2 linked regions of the Oreochromis niloticus genome follow. The protein of the gene in region 1 purifies or fractionates together with the protein of each later gene. This does not show direct contact. Links are inferred from orthologs where the notes say so. Each region holds a gene or a part of one and is shown in the gene's direction. Other genes may lie near its edges. The genes, in order: afg2b and timm13.

Region 1 (3,921 bases):
ATATTATTCTTTTTTTAATGTTTACTTGATATTTGAGGAATAACCTCAGTACAAAACATGCAGCCAAACAGAAGCAGCATACATTAATAGAGAGAATATATAATTAAATACATTTCCTTATATTCTGCAGATAATCTTCAGAAAAATAATACAGCAAAAAGAAGACAAATAATGAGGGAATGTTGAAATAAACATTTATTCACACAATAATGGGTCATTTTTTGCACGTGGGTTTTGGGGTTTTTTTAGAGTAGCTTATCCATAGTTTTCTAATGACTGTTTTTATGGCAAATACTTTCATTCCAGTCCTTATACCTGACCCTTTTCAGAGGAGTGTTTTTTGTTACGCTACCTAATGCTGACCTATGAATCATTCAAACATAAAAAGGCACCTTACTCAAGAGATGAACCAGTGTTGTGTCTACACATTACAGACACCTTAGCAAAGAACCAATTTCAAATCATTTCTTTGGGCACTTTAGACCAGCAGCCTGTCACAAAACACGGCATTTGTTCTCATTTGTTAGGTTGAATTTATGAATTAACGCCAAAGATAACAAGGTTGACAGGCATAAAATTGGATCAACAAGTGGAGAACAACAGAAGAAGTGACAGGCCTAAAAAAACAAATGCAGCAGACAAATTATCTCTAAAAATAATCTCCTTTAGAAATCGGGGGGGGGGGGAGAACAGCAAAGACCTGATACAGGACCTGAGAGATTCATGTGGCCCTTCAGTTGCTTGGACCTCAACATTATTGAAGCAGTGTGGGATCACTTTGACAGAGAACAGAACAAAAGGCAGCCAACATCCAAAGAGCTTTGAATGTCTTTCTACAAGCCTGGAGAAATATTCCCGAAGACTACTTAAAGAAATTACAAGAAAACCTGACTAAGAGAGTTCAGACTGTGTTGAAGAATAAATACTCCTAAAGATTCCAAATATTGACTTTTATGTTCACTGAAATTGTAAAAACTCTCTTTATGTCTTATATACTGTATTTCCATATATGTTTGCACATGCTCCTATTTCCCTAGCAAAATATAAAGAAATTAGGGGTGACCCAAGACTTTTACGTAGTAAAGTGTCGACGCGGAAGATTAGCGTCACCTCACGCAGGAAGCTGTTTTGGTTGACCGTGTTGTTTTAATGCCACATGGATTTTGTAAACAGTAAAGTCTGAGTTGATATGTTCTGTGTAGTATATAGTTGGTATTAGCACCCATTTTATTTCTGATTGTTTAGGTGCTGTCGGCTGGTTTCAGCCGTTTCCGGTACATAAACCTCTTTGCCTTAGACCCAGCTTAGTCAGAGTTTTGTCCTACATGCTAACGGTTAGCATGTAGCCTCGGTGAAGTTTTATGCTGCCTCTGAGTTTCTGCTTAGTCTCTCTCCCTCACTAACGTTACGTGCGTCTCTGTCTCTATTTCCCCGTCAGGTGGCTGCAGGCGGAGCATGGAGCCTCTGAGGCTGCTTTCCGTGGATCCATCAGACCGGGGCTCTCAGAGATGCAGGCTTGGTCCGGGCATGATGTCGGCGCTGGGTGTGCACCTGGGCTCCCCTCTGCTGGTGTCTGTCCCCGGAGGAAGCTGCCTGTGCACTGCCTGGCCCCGGGCTGACCTGGCAGAGGGCTTCCTGCAGATGGACCTGAAATGTTTCTCCCCCAGTCTTCTCTCTCAGCTCCCCTCGCACCTGAGCCTGGACCCCGCTCAGGTGTCACCTGTGATCTGCTCCAAACTGAAAGGCGTCAGGATAACCGTGATAGTCCAGAGTGTCAATTTCAGGAAACGCACACCGCATCGCCTTGTTCATGAGCTTGTAAAAGACATGCTGAAAGGTGTTTGTGTCCATGATGGGTTTGTAATAAACCTGGAGGATTTCGACACAGAGATCAAATATGTTGTTATTGAAAGCATCAGTCCAGAGTCGGATAGTGCTGGATTCATCACCTCGAAGACTGCTGTTGAGATTGCTGGCATCCAGACACTCCGACATTACAGGAGTCAGCTGCAGGACCGGCACACAGTGCAGCTGGGGGGGCTGGAGGAGGTGAATTTCTTTAAATAATACCTAACAGAGTGTTTTTCCACTGTGCAACACCTAATGTGTGTGGTTTTTTTGTTTGTTTGTTTTTACAACATTTTAGGTGTCTGCATCACTTAGAGAGATGCTGAAGCTGCCACTTCTCTATCCAAGCACACTGAGCTCTCTCGGTGTATCCTGTCCCAGAGGGGTGCTTCTGGTGGGGCCTCCAGGTGTAGGCAAAACCTTGCTGGTCCGCCAAGTGGTGGGTGAGGTGGGAGCCTGCTTGGTGGTGGTCAGAGGGCCAGAGGTAAAAAAGATGATACTAAACACACCTCATCATAATATTGATGCCGTCTAATATTCCTCGTAATACGCGGAGCATTTTGCATGTAAATGCATTACCAGTAATTCTGAACAATAATTTCAGGTGGTGGGGGCTCGGCCTGGTGAGAGCGAGGAGGCGCTGCGGGCCGTGTTTGAGCGTGCTCGATCCGCAGCAGATGAAGGTCCCTGTGTGCTGTTCTTAGACGAGCTGGACTCTCTGTGTCCGAGGAGAACCAGCTCGTCGGCTCCGGAGAACCGGCTGGTTGCTCAGCTTCTCACACTCATGGACGGGATGAATCAGTCTGACCGCTTTCTCATCGTCGGAGCCACCAACCGGCCGGACAGCTTAGACCCAGCACTGCGCCGGCCAGGGAGATTTGACAGAGAGGTGTGTGTCCGCTCACTGTCACAGATCCAGTGTTTTTAATCTTTCTTGAGAAAGATGATATAAATTTCATCTTCTCTGTGAAGTGTAGATAATTGGGGTGCTTATGCAGGGGTTTCTCTCAGACGTTTGTAATGCTTCAGTTGACTGATTTGTCTAGCTTCAGATTTCACTAGAGATATCTTTGTTTCTAGAGATGCAGAGACAGAGATACAGTAATGTGCAAAAGTCTTGGGCCACATATCATTTCTTTTCTAGAAAAATTGGAAACAAATTAAATGTTTTATTAAAACATGTCCTAACATACATGAAAATGCACCATATAAGTTAAAAACAGAGTTTATACACTTTTAAGGAGCTTAAAACTCAATATTTGTTATGGCGACCTTTGTTCTTAAACACAGCCTGAACTCTCTTAGGCAAGGAAATAAAATAACGTTGGCTCACATGACTTCCCATACTTCAGTGAATAGGCTCGGGATCTGCAGCATGTCTCCTAAATGACGAGGCAAAACCCATGTGACACAGATACACTGTATGACCCTCCGGTGAAGCGTTTTGTTTTTGAAACATGTCTGGAGGAACAAAAGAGGATTTTATAAAAACAGAAGATGACAGACGACAACCGAACGCCTCGGTACACCTAATTCTTTAACACTGCTGGTAGTCACGACTACGTATAGATGTAAACATAGAGTTGGGTTTTTTTCTGATTATAAGGCAAGATGTACCTTTTTTACTTATATAAAATATCTGTCCAGGTCGGTGAGTTGGTGCAGATACGTGTATGTGAGTCGTTAGTCTCTGAGTGTTCGTCTTTCCCACAGGTTATAATCGGAGCTCCAACCTTGCAGCAGAGAAAGGCCATCTTGTCTGTCCTGTGTGAGAGGATGCCTGTGTGTCCCAGTGTGAACCTGACAGAGCTTGCACAAACAACTACAGGCTACGTGGGAGCAGACCTCAGTGCCCTGTGCAGGGAGGCCGCCATGCACGCTATACGGGAAGACTCCAAAGTAACGACAGCGACCTGTCACAGTGAAACAAAACACTAGTTTTTGCTGTTTTGCTACAGGAACGACACACTTTATTGCTAATTGTGCAGCTGTGTTGTAATTGTAAAGTCAAAGTTAAAGCCTGAATAAGAATCACATTTAGAAATTCATCTCAAAAGGCTCACAGTGAATGTG
Region 2 (3,795 bases), on another chromosome or scaffold:
AAAATCTAAATCTAAGGGGTGCATTAAATACTTTATTATTATGTTTTTGGTTAATAATAAAAGAAATCAAAATTATGACTGATGGGTGGAAAATAAATGAATAAAAAATTAATTTCAGTAGAGGAAATTAGCCTCGTTACAGATTAAAGTCATTGTCTTATTATGTGGAGTGACAGGAAAGTTGAGCTCACATAGTGTTGATCTGCACAAAGAATATCTGCTTCATGAACGGTCACAAATGTATCGATAACTGTTGATAACACACTGTGAAAGAGCCTAACTGAACTTAGTCCAACTCGAGGGAGTATTTAGCGGAGAACAGCTCCACCATGTGGCAAACAAAAGCACTTTTGTTAAGGTGGATCAGGTGTTAACCTGTTAACCGTAGGGGTGACCAGATGCCTTCATGTTGGACTGCACCGCATGTTTTACCCCTTGCGCCGCTGTCCCGCATATTGAGACAATGTCCCGCACTTTGACCGGCTCTGCAGGATGTGCACTTTTTAAAGTCGGGTTTTTATGTCCAACACTCTAATGCGCTAACTCTGAAACCAATAGGGGAGAAGTCACCTAAACGTTACACGCTTTGCAAATTTTGAATCAAATTATTCAACAGAAAATTTAGCGGCGGTTTATATCGTTTTTTTCCTCTGGATAATTTCTTCACTTTCACGCAAGGGAAAATATGGCGTAAAGTGACACTACACGTGTCTCTTAATTGGCTAGAAAAATGCTAACGTTGGCTCAGTAAACATTGTATAGATAATGATGATGATGATTAACAGACAGGAGAGCAGCTGAAATAACAGGACTATGTAAAAAGTATTGCATAAACTTCAGCTCCGCTTCATCCTTATTTTATTTACTTAGCAAGAGAGCTAAATAGTTGCTTTTAAATACCATTTATTTGGCTTTTACATGCTAAATGCAAACCTGCACAGTACTTCCCTGTATCGCCAACATGGTCCCACAAAAATGCCGTTTTTAAATGTTAAAATGTAAATAGTAGTACTATACCTGATCTGTAGGAGAAATGCTACTTGTAGCAGTACAACCTTTGTTGGGAAAAAAAAACTACATTTCCCATGACGCCGAGTGGCTCACACGGAAATGACGCAACAGGCACAGCTTCTGTCAAGGGCATCGGAAACTAACGCCGGCTAAGGCTAGCAGCGGCTGTTTGCACGTGTATTGGAAGAAGCTCCGCAAAGGTGAGTTTGAAGAACACGACTGTGGCGGAAATGGACGGCTTTGGTTCAGACTTCTCAGCAGGAGGGTCCGGCGGAAAAATGGACACCGGTACCATCATGGAGCAGGTCAAGGTCCAGATCGCGGTGGCTAACGCTCAGGAGCTGCTGCAGGTAAATCAATGAACACAGCTGCTAAGCTAGCAAGCACACATTGAGTAAGTGCTGAGTGCTTTTACCTTTACGGGTCAAAGCTGTACAATGGCTTTGTTCTTCGTCCTGTGTGTAAGACTATTTTATTTTTTAGCCCGCAATAACTTCTGTAAGGTTTATGGATCCTGTCAGCATGTTAATACACGGCTCATATAAACACACGAGCCGAAATGCTGCTGACATAAAAAGATACTTTTGAGCCAGACCAACTTTGGAGGGTCTTTTTTTTTTTTTTAAAGTCATGCAAATATTCTGCGCTGCTGCTGTCAGAGTTGTAAATGCTAATAAAAGATTGTTTTTCATATTTCAGAGAATGACCGATAAATGCTTCAAGAAGTGCATAGGCAAGCCTGGAAGCACACTGGACAACTCTGAGCAGGTATGCACTGGCGGACTGAGTTGCTTCAGTGATGCACTGCTGCTCCGAGCAAAGAAGTGATCACGTTTTTAAGAAAACAGGAGGGCATAACGAAAGTGCTGCAGGGCTCTAAAGGCTTACCTGACAGGTGTTTTTGAGTGGGTCAAATGCAAGCGCAATACCAGAAACATAAGGTGTTGCTGAGGTACTCCATCATCTTGTAGAATAATATAACAGGTTTATCGTAGGATAAGATGGACCAACATGTATCGACTCCCGAGTCTTCATCAGTGTCTCGTTTCCAGGTTAGAGTCGATCTGCGTTGGTCTGTCTCTCCCTGCAGAACTGCTCCTAGGATAAACTTGTTATATATATATTTATATTTGAAAACAAGGAGGAGTGCATCAGAAACATTTTTTTGGTATTAATCACAGTTTTAAATTGGTTAAATTCTTTATAGACCACGAGTGGATTATTTCTCTGGACTTTTAACCCGTGTTTTTTTTTTTTTGCCTTGTCCCTAACAGAAGTGTATCGCCATGTGTATGGACCGGTATATGGACGCCTGGAACACCGTGTCCCGAACATACAACTCCAGACTGCAGCGAGAAAGAGCTCGCATGTGAACTCCTCTCTCTTCATCTTTCCCTTCTTCAGGCTGCCGCACACAGCGAGGGCCGATGCAGTGCTCTGCAGGAGGGCCCACGCTGTGCACGAGTTTTGCCACGACAGCGGCGCAACATCTTTCACAATACCTGTGACAGGCAGAGCAGAGCCTGTGGACTGCAGCCATACCAGTGTCTCTGTGGACAGTTTTTCTGCTCTGAGGAACAGTTCACTACCAATGTTAAATCGATTGTGTTTTACGTTAGAAATATAATAATTCATTTTCTGCGTGTTCTTGCCATGTTGATTGGAAACACTAAATTACCTGCTTAAGTGTGAATGTGTCTGAAAGTGTTTGCTGACGCTGCGACAGGAGGCTGAGCCTGCTGTGCTGCTAAAAGGACTCCAGATGCAGTTTGGCTCAATAGGCCCGCCTTACTTACTGTGACTCATCTGCCTGCCCATCGAATGCTTCTGCCTGTAATACCAGTAACAGTAAACTTCTCCCAGTCACTGCAGACTCTCCTTTAAACACTGTTTCACATTCTTTGCCGGGTGATTGAGCTTCGAGACTAAATATTTCCTGGAGCCCTTAAAGGAAAGAAAAAAAGTGCTTAAAAATCATCAGGAAGAATCGAGGAGCAATTTGGTGTTTTCACCAGCATGAATTTGACATTTACAAGCCTCCAAACAGACCTATATCAAAGTACAGCTGGAGAACAACACTGTTTTGTCTGACATGTTTTCTGGTTGTCACTCTATCTGCTGCCCTCCACAGTAGTGGGTTTGTTTCAGCGGGGTCTCCCTCGCCCTAGACGGGGTACTGCACCTTTCTCAGCCTCGTGTGCATGCGGTTTGTTAGATATCTGGGAACCTCCTGAGTTTGTGTGAGGAGCCAGAAAAGCTCTGTGAACATCTTTTGCAATCAGTGATATTTTTTTTCCCCAAGAAAAAATAATAAATCTCATCAATCAGGTGTTCTCTCGTTTCTGATCAAAAGAGCGAATATCCACCAACAGAACGACACCGAGTCCCACGTCACTGACTTTGTACAGAGTAGACTTTCCCCACAAATCCACCTTACAGTAAAAGATCACAATACCATTATATTGACCCATAAATGAATGTTCTCCACACAAGGCCATGTGCAGTGTGTTTACCATCCATGACAATAAATAAATGTAATAAATACTCCAAATGATCCGTGCTAGCTGAATGTTTAAGCCACAGTTCAGGTGGGAGGAGGATGGGCCCAGTTCAGGTAAAAGCACAGCACTACCGACAGCACCTGTGACCGGAGGGTCACAAAGGTCAGTGCTGTGTACACTGAGTATTTGTGTGTGGCTGTTTAGCATGACCTCAGTTCTCTGCAGACACAGTTCTTCCTTCATCAGAACGGTAGGTATGTGGATATCCAGCTCCTGATAGACG

What was found.
Region 2: the proteins of afg2b (region 1) and timm13 purify together in Homo sapiens (co-immunoprecipitation; 3 studies listed by BioGRID and IntAct, with this or other methods). This does not show direct contact. The link is inferred for Oreochromis niloticus from reciprocal best matches to the Homo sapiens genes AFG2B and TIMM13.

Annotation. Positions count from the first base shown.
Region 1 is NC_031965.2:12,577,871-12,581,791, reverse strand, and holds the start of afg2b (ATPase family gene 2 protein homolog B), read left to right. Parts: upstream 1-1,106; 5' UTR 1,107-1,156; coding exon 1,157-1,172; exon of another isoform or gene 1,173-1,351; intron 1,352-1,438; coding exon 1,439-2,049; intron 2,050-2,146; coding exon 2,147-2,332; intron 2,333-2,452; coding exon 2,453-2,737; intron 2,738-3,561; coding exon 3,562-3,747; intron 3,748-3,921. UniProt on the Homo sapiens protein: ATP-dependent chaperone part of the 55LCC heterohexameric ATPase complex which is chromatin-associated and promotes replisome proteostasis to maintain replication fork progression and genome stability.
Region 2 is NC_031986.2:44,780,860-44,784,654, forward strand, and holds timm13 (mitochondrial import inner membrane translocase subunit Tim13), read left to right. Parts: upstream 1-1,136; 5' UTR 1,137-1,241; coding exon 1,242-1,361; intron 1,362-1,710; coding exon 1,711-1,779; intron 1,780-2,285; coding exon 2,286-2,384; 3' UTR 2,385-3,059; downstream 3,060-3,795. Other genes in the region: tmprss9 (transmembrane protease serine 9), read right to left, coding at 3,755-3,795. UniProt on the Homo sapiens protein: Mitochondrial intermembrane chaperone that participates in the import and insertion of some multi-pass transmembrane proteins into the mitochondrial inner membrane.